Linked DNA regions of Bombyx mori. The protein of the gene in region 1 interacts with the protein of each later gene in a pairwise test. Links are inferred from orthologs where the notes say so. Each region holds a gene or a part of one and is shown on either strand. Other genes may lie near its edges. The genes, in order: histone acetyltransferase Tip60 and RING finger and CHY zinc finger domain-containing protein 1.

What was found.
Region 2: the proteins of histone acetyltransferase Tip60 (region 1) and RING finger and CHY zinc finger domain-containing protein 1 interact in a two-hybrid assay, tested with the Homo sapiens proteins (2 studies listed by BioGRID). The link is inferred for Bombyx mori from reciprocal best matches to the Homo sapiens genes KAT5 and RCHY1.

Annotation. Positions count from the first base shown.
Region 1 is NC_085124.1:9,217,310-9,221,728, reverse strand, and holds the start of histone acetyltransferase Tip60, read right to left. Parts: upstream 2,965-4,419; 5' UTR 2,877-2,964; coding exon 2,832-2,876; intron 2,760-2,831; coding exon 2,633-2,759; intron 2,143-2,632; coding exon 1,990-2,142; intron 1,565-1,989; coding exon 1,430-1,564; intron 718-1,429; coding exon 566-717; intron 104-565; coding exon 1-103. UniProt on the Homo sapiens protein: Catalytic subunit of the NuA4 histone acetyltransferase complex, a multiprotein complex involved in transcriptional activation of select genes principally by acetylation of nucleosomal histones H2A and H4.
Region 2 is NC_085125.1:12,756,818-12,760,351, reverse strand, and holds part of RING finger and CHY zinc finger domain-containing protein 1, read right to left. Parts: coding exon 3,451-3,534; intron 1,850-3,450; coding exon 1,667-1,849; intron 1,111-1,666; coding exon 1,015-1,110; intron 1-1,014. UniProt on the Homo sapiens protein: E3 ubiquitin-protein ligase that mediates ubiquitination of target proteins, including p53/TP53, TP73, HDAC1 and CDKN1B. Mediates ubiquitination and degradation of p53/TP53; preferentially acts on tetrameric p53/TP53.

The DNA.
Region 1 (4,419 bases):
CGACCAGACTGCCGGACTGTCGCGGGCGCGCCGTCGGCGTCGCCGTGCCGCTGGCCGTCGCGTCCGCTTCACCTTCTTGTGACGGCTCCGAATGTAAACTGACCTATATGAGACAAACATTACCTCTGATAGTGTCGTGGCGTGCAACCTCTTTGACAGGACATAAGACCTACAACGACTAGACATAGACAAAGAAGTCGTCGTGGCCTAAAGGTTATAAGACGTCCGGTGCATTCGTGTTGAGCGATGCACCTGTGTTCGAATCCCGCAGGCGGGTACCAATTTTTCTGATGATAATTCGTACTCAACAAATGTTCACGATTGACTTCCACGATGGAGGAATAACATCGTGTAATAAAAGTGAAACCCGCAAAATTATAATTTGTAGGGTGGTGCAGCCATTGTAACTATACTGAGATCTTAGAACTTATATTTCAAGGTGGGTGGCGCATTTACGTTGTAGATGTCTATTGGCTTCAGTAACCACTTAACACCAGGTGGGCTGTGAGCTCGTCCACCCATCTAAGCAATAAATAAATAAAAAATATTAATATTGATATTTTACGTCATTATCCAAAGAGGGCGGTTTGCGTTTTCTGTTCATCTTTTTCTGTAAGGCTGCTGCGAGGACAGCTCCTCCATTGACCAGTGACGAAGAATCATTTACCAGAGTCGGACTGGCGGGTCGGGACACCAACTGTCTTGGTTCAACCACAGCTGTGCAGAAAACCGGGAATGTAGTATTTTAAATTAAGAGTGATTTGACACAATACTGCAGCATTTCACATTAATAGGGCTTCACGTCAATAGAATTACAATATTTCTTTCAATAAATAAACGCCAAAATTAAACAATTGCTTCATTATAATTGCTATTTTTAAAGTATAATCTGTCGTTTTTTACTGTAGTTATGAATAATTTACTGTTTTCTATGTCACGGATGACTCGTCATACACAGTTAAGACATTAAGGTATAAAAGTAGCCTTAATTATATTTACGACTGGCGAAAACCGAAGAAAATACTAAATTGCTTAGTTGTCACATTAATTGGTAATAATTACTAACATGATCATTATATGTTAATCAAATATTACCATGACAGAAAATATTCATATTCAATATATGGACTATGGTATTACTGGTTCTCACAACTGAGCTTCAAACGTGCTTATAAGGGAACAAGAAACTATTATTATTTCTAAGCTTACAACTTGATGGCTACTAAGCTGTTGACATGTTGAATAATATGTTGGTAACTAAACAATCATTTGGAATAACATCAATGATGCTCACATTATACATACCAGTAGCTACTACTGCTACTGTTTAAAAGTACAAAAAATAAATTTATTGTTTTAAGAATAAAAGCATGACATATCTACCTAAATAAAAGCATATTACACAAAATAAATTATTATGGTACATTACCAAGTGCATTTTTTTGTGCGGAACCATTGAGTGCATTGCTAAAATGGGCCTTTTCATGTGTTTTGGGTTGGGTCAGTTGATTTGTTATAGTTCTAGCATTACTAGACTTCTGATTCTCATTGCAGACTGTGTCATCTGCAGACAAAATTTTGTTTTTATTGCCAATTGGTTGATCATGGATGTTTGGTAACACAAACTAACCTACACTTGGCACGAGACATTGTACTGGGCAAAACAAAGAATCATACAGTAACAAAATAAAAGTACAAATATATTCTACTATATTAATTATAGCATTCAAGACAACATCAACTAAAGCTAGAATTATAACACATTAAAGTTTGGACTCTATTTGTTTTACTGCTTTTATCCAGTCCAACATGAACTGTCGGGTGGAGGAAAAATAGCAAGTAATAGTAGAGAGTAATAGTAGAGTAATATAAATCATGCAATTTATTACCAAATCCCATTCTTTATCTGTGAAGTTGAACTTTGAATTGTTTAAAATTAAGTGAAATGACCATAACAATTAATTAAGCTCTAAAAACAAAGACACATACTAATAAAAGTAGGCATAACGCCACCTCCTGATCCAATGAGTGTTTTCTTTGGAGTAGTTGTACCACCTGTTGCTGTTCCATCCCGTCGAGGGAATTGGACTTTACGAGTGTCCAACCAAGATTCACCCACCCATTCATCGAGACGTTTATTAACTGAAAAATTTTTTATGTTTAAGTCTAATTTCAAAAAAATTAAGCACTTCATGAAAAACAGGAGAAAATCTTTTTATTCTGTTAGTACATACGTATGCAAGCTTACAAGACACCCTATCACAAGTGTTCTTTGCTTTTTCTGCTACTAAATTGGATTTTAGTCCATTTACCACCCTTTGGTTTTTTAAATTAAGATCTCAATTAGACATGTGCCTTTGTAGAACATTTTTAAGTATCCTTTAAGTTCAATCTACTAGATTGTTTATCAATTACACATATGATAACAAGCTCACATTAGTTATAAATTTATAAAATGTCTCAACATAGGTAAGTAGCTTTATTTTAGAAATTTCCCATATATATAACAAAACTAAAGCTTATAGATATAGGTAATTAGCTGCTAATCTAGCATCACAGTCAATTTCTTATCAATGTTACACACAATTTTTCCAAAATGAATAACAAACATACCCGTTCATTATTTACTCACAATCAACATAATGCACGTAAAATCCTCTTTGGCCCTGAACTTCTTTAATACTTATAATTTCGGCGAGTGGCCAGTCGTCTCCTCCTTGCATACGAACAGGAAGACGGCATCCCTCAACAAGCGATGACTAAAACAAAAAGATGATAAATTAATCTCACGGTATTATATCACATATATATTCTAAATAAGCGGAAATCACCGTTGAATCACAAAATGTTGTCAATTCATCATCATTTTCGTTCATTTTAAAATAATAATATTATTTTTTCACAAAAATAGCTATTTGCTTTGAATGCTTAGCTGTCATTGCTGTCAATATCAAAGTAATCAGATTGCAGTCAATCTGACATTAAATAGGCAAAGGGAATATTATTCATAAGTGATTAGTCTAGTAGGTAACGAAAATTGAAATGTAATAAATATTGAGAGTTCAAGCGTCTACCGATTATGTATTATTTAGCGCTTACGTAAATCTGCAGATACCAATCATTGATATGTTTTTTTAGCTATTTCGTAATGCATATATGGGCGAATGTGCTCGTGAGTCACAGCTTACCTTGTCTCAAATAGTTACCGGAACACAAATATATAATAGCAATGTAAAAAGTGTAATGGAACGAAATGAAATTATATCAATTCACTAATTCCTTACTTTGCTTTGGATCATTTGTATCGCATTCGGCTCAAAAGGTTGAACTACTCATTGTGTAAAAGAAGTGATTCTGTTTTGCTGGTTTTGACCTAGCGGAGTATCTCGGGAGTATTAACGGCCCTATCCAAGCGGGAGGGATTAGAGAACCGCTGGTCGTCTTGACAAACGTCAAACTGATGAGCCGTGATGTGAGGCACCGAGAAGAGATGCGCCGTTGGGTTGTTGAGTAAAAGCAGGTTTTGTTAATTTCCTCGTGCGCTAAAACTGGATTACATGATTTTTTGAGAATCAAATCTTATTTGATTCTCAAAAAATCTTAATACACACGAATAAGATAGAAATTAAGCCATAGAGTAATGGAACCCTTCAATCGCGTGATCGAAGATCAGAGTGTCTCGAATGGCTTATAGATGTTGTCATTGGCGACATGGGCACGTGGAGAAAGTCTAGGCTTTCTACTAGGCAGTATTAAAACCCTAATAATTTTGTCTAGCAGTCTGTGGTGAACCCCGCTAGAGGAAATAATTACATTTGTAAACTTTTCGCGGGTTCCATTTAATTTTTTACACGTTGTCATTCTTTTAACGCAGAAGTTGCTTATGAACATGTGTTAGAAGCAAATTTTATTTTATTTTGTTCTGAAGATGTTGTCGAGAGCAACTTTGGATAAGTTATAGATAGACTTTTCGCTCCATTAACTCCTCGCTCCATAGACACCAATAACAAAAATCGTTTTTTTATGTTTGAGAAATAGCTGTTGGAAGTCTATCCAGTTTCACCAGGACACGTGGGCGAGCAAAGGTTCAGCCAGGAGAGGTGGGAATAAGCACGTTTAGCTGGGCTGTGAGCCGTAGCCCGTGGATTGGGTAGCCCTGTCGAGATCGTAGGCTAACTCAGTTAACTTCAAAGGAAAAACTAACCTTGTTTTATACACATTATTATTTAACGTGTTCTTACCAAGAATGAACATTTACCTAATGAGTTCCCGATAGGTATGTCCTGTTGCAAGCGCCTTGATCACGAGTAGACTGAAGACTGCGGGTAAAATGTTAGGAGCAGAACTGTCCACATTCTTTATAGTCTGTGTTTGGATCTACTGGAACTCAATGATCACCCTGACCAAATACCTTCATAA
Region 2 (3,534 bases), on another chromosome or scaffold:
GTATCTGTGGCGAGAATGTTCGGAGCTAAATTGTACGAATTGATTTGTTTTGTTAATTTAGTGTTATTTTTTGGATTAATATCGTGTAACAACGTCAGCTTATTAATCGTCGTGGGTCATTGAAAGTAGCTGGACGTAACTTCTCGGGTTCTTGCTAAAATATCACTGAATTCTCAGTAAATAACCACCATATTAGTGAGACTTTATTTCACCCAATCTCATCTTGTTTCATTTAATTCAATCCCTTTTTTATTGCCTTTGTAGGCAGACGGTCATACAGCCTGATGGTAAGTGGTCACCGTCGCTCATGGACGTCAGCAATGTCAGGGGCAGAGCCAAGCCGCTGCCTACAATTAAGTACTCTCCGCAAGCCTCGTTTGAAGAAGATTTTTTTGATCAGTCTCAAATAAATCAACTTCACCTCATTTCATTTCTATTATTTTTGGCTCCATGTTACGTATCATGTATCATTTAATAGAATGTACAAAAAATTAGGCTGTACGGTGCGATACTTTCGTCTTTCATGTTGGAGAAATGGAACTATGACGCGTTACATTCAGTGTGCTTAGTGCTTCGTTTGCCGCTAGAGGCGCTGTTCCAACTCCATACAAATTTGAGTTAGCTTTTACGCGATCGAGAAGTTGAAAAAACTAGCATTAAGCACAATGATGGTTGTCTGGAAGAGAAGATCGCCAATTGTACTTTTTTTGTGTTTAATGTATCGCACTGTTTATTTGTTTTTTGGCGTACAATAAATAATACTCTCTCTCTCTTTCTCACAATACGCGCTGCTGTCACAGGGTGATATTAGGAATTCAGACTGTAATTTTTTTTATAAGCCTGCATTAATTTTTTAAATCCTTTTTTCTTCTGTCTGCTAGTAGTATTATTAAAAAAAAGGACTAAACCTACATTAACCTTTCAAAGAAATTTAATTACTGTGACGGGTTAAAGATTCTTTGACTTTAATTCTTCCAGGCCTCAGGCCTTATTCCATATCATACTATTTATCACCTTATGACAATCCTTGCACAGTATCGTGGCCTTGTAGTCGGCGTATTCGGACGGCATCGGTGTGGCCGCTACTTCGGAATCCAGATAATTCCAGAGCTGCAACAAAACAACTTCACCTTAAGTACTTTCTTAGAGCGCCTGATACCTATCCGGACATGCTAATAATAATGTAGGATTATTAAGAACGGAACGTATGAAAAGAGCGTGGAACGGAGCGTTAAGATGTGATTTAAGTGAGAGAAAACGGAAAGAAAGGGAAAAGAGAATGACACACAGAATAACAGAGAAAAAGGAAGATGGCGAAGACATAATAAGTGTTAATTAATTTTTAATTATTATTATAACACAAGATTTTGGGACAGTAGAAATTTTATTTTATGCGCTGCGATCCCTATTCTATAATAATAAGATGATTATTTCCCAACATCCATCCTTAATAATTTAGAATGTAAAATTGTTGGCATCGGGGACACTAGTCACACATTCAACATTGATGCATATGGCAAGTAGCATGTGTCCTACCAACATTCACCTACACGAAGAGAGAGACAGAGAGATCAAAGAGCCTTTAGTTTAATGACATTGCCATTAGCTGGAGCTTCAGGACAATAGACAAGAGGACTGACACCGACTAGACCCGGATGAAACTCACATTCGACATGTCGATCATGCTCGTCTGGCACGTGGGGCACGCGTAGTGGCCGGAGTGCAGCAGCTGCTCGAAGCAGGGCCGGTGCAGCAGGTGGCCGCAGTCCGGGATGTGGCACGGGATGCGGGACGTGTGGATGTCCTCCAGGCACACGGGGCAGTTCGAACGGGACACGTTCTCTACGCACTGCGGGACATAGTAAAGAAAGAATGAAAAAAAGAAAGAAAGAAAACATTTATTCGCTAAGCATATAGAAAATGAGTTATTACATAAGTTAAAAGCAACGTGTATGCTTGGTCATTATTTGACATACGAATTTTGGTGCAGTGCAAGATATTATAATCTATATATTAATACGTGAAGCAAAAACTTTGTATCCCTTTTTACGAAAATTGCGCGGACGGAGGAATATGAAATTTTCCACACTTATAGAGAATATAGAGAAGAAGTGAGGCTTATAAAATCAAAGGCAGCTAAATCTAAGTCTGTCAAATATTCAGGTAAACTACAAAAATCGGCCCTAAATACGTCATTACGGATCCTACTGATCCATCGAAGTACTGCTCTTGCTTGGGCCAGTGTTAGCAACATTTCCGGTTTGAGAAGCTGAAATAACTTTGTTCGGATAGCTACGATATTCTATATTTTAAAGCAGATTTATAAAGAATGAGAATATTACTAATAATCTGAATTTTAAATGATAAAACTTCGTTTATTAGTACTTAGTACTGAGTAAATATAAAATTTTTGTAGGTGGCGTTGAAGAAGTTAGATTTTCAGATTTTTTGACAAACAATTTTTTAATTTATCTTAATAAAAAGTATCCTATGTTACTTCTAATACCTCCAAGAATATGTGTACAAAGTTTCATGATGATCGGTTGAGTAGTTTTCGCGTAAAAGCGTAACAAACAAACTTACATTCACATTTATATATTAGTAGGGATAGGGATGTGTAGAGAAATGCGCGCCCAAAATACATGCAACCGTTTTAATAATATTATCAATAGATGGCGTTGCTCATTTTCTGAATCGCGCTCGTATTATTAATAGAAAGGACTTAAGGCACTAATAGGATCTATGTATTGATGTGTTGTAAAAATGTTGTTATAAAAAACACATATTTTTTGGGGGCGTGTCTTGTAACTTCGGTTATAAGCAGAGAGCCTGTATAGTATGGAATATGGACGCGGGAAACGTAATTATTTGTAGGCAGACGAGCACACGGCCCACTTGATGATGAGTGCTGACAGATAAAGTATTTTTTCGTTTTTAAGTAGGTGAAAAAATGGGGGCGCCAAAAAATAATTTATTCTCAAAGTGGGCAGTAGACAAAATAAGTTTGGGAGTCCTTGCTATAGAGAGACAGCCAATTTTAAACATCTAAATTTTGTTTTGACAATCCTGTCATTACATCAGAATGAATATCAGACAAATACTTTAGGGACTACTGCTTTTTTTTTCTTACCTATACTGATAGCCTTAAGAGGTTATTTCAGCTTTGCTAACATGTAGGTGAGGTCATGGGGCTCAAACTGGAGTGTTGCTGACACTGACCCTTGCAAGAGCTGTGCTTCGCAGAATCTACCGCCAGATCGGAAACGCGACCCACTGAGAAGATCCGGCGAGAAACTCACTGGGCTGTGTCTATGGGTTAATTCGCTCGTCGAGCCCTTCGTCGCAAGACGGGTTCGGCGAGGGCGGTGATTGGTGCTTGTGGGACCTAAAAGCACTGTTAATGGATTTTTGGAGGATTACTGCACTCAGATTAGTTTTCAATTGACTCACCCTATGTCCGACCCTTTGCAGCTGAACAGGCAGGCACATGTTGCAGCGTTCACAATGGAAGAACCTATCGCGGCCTCCTACACG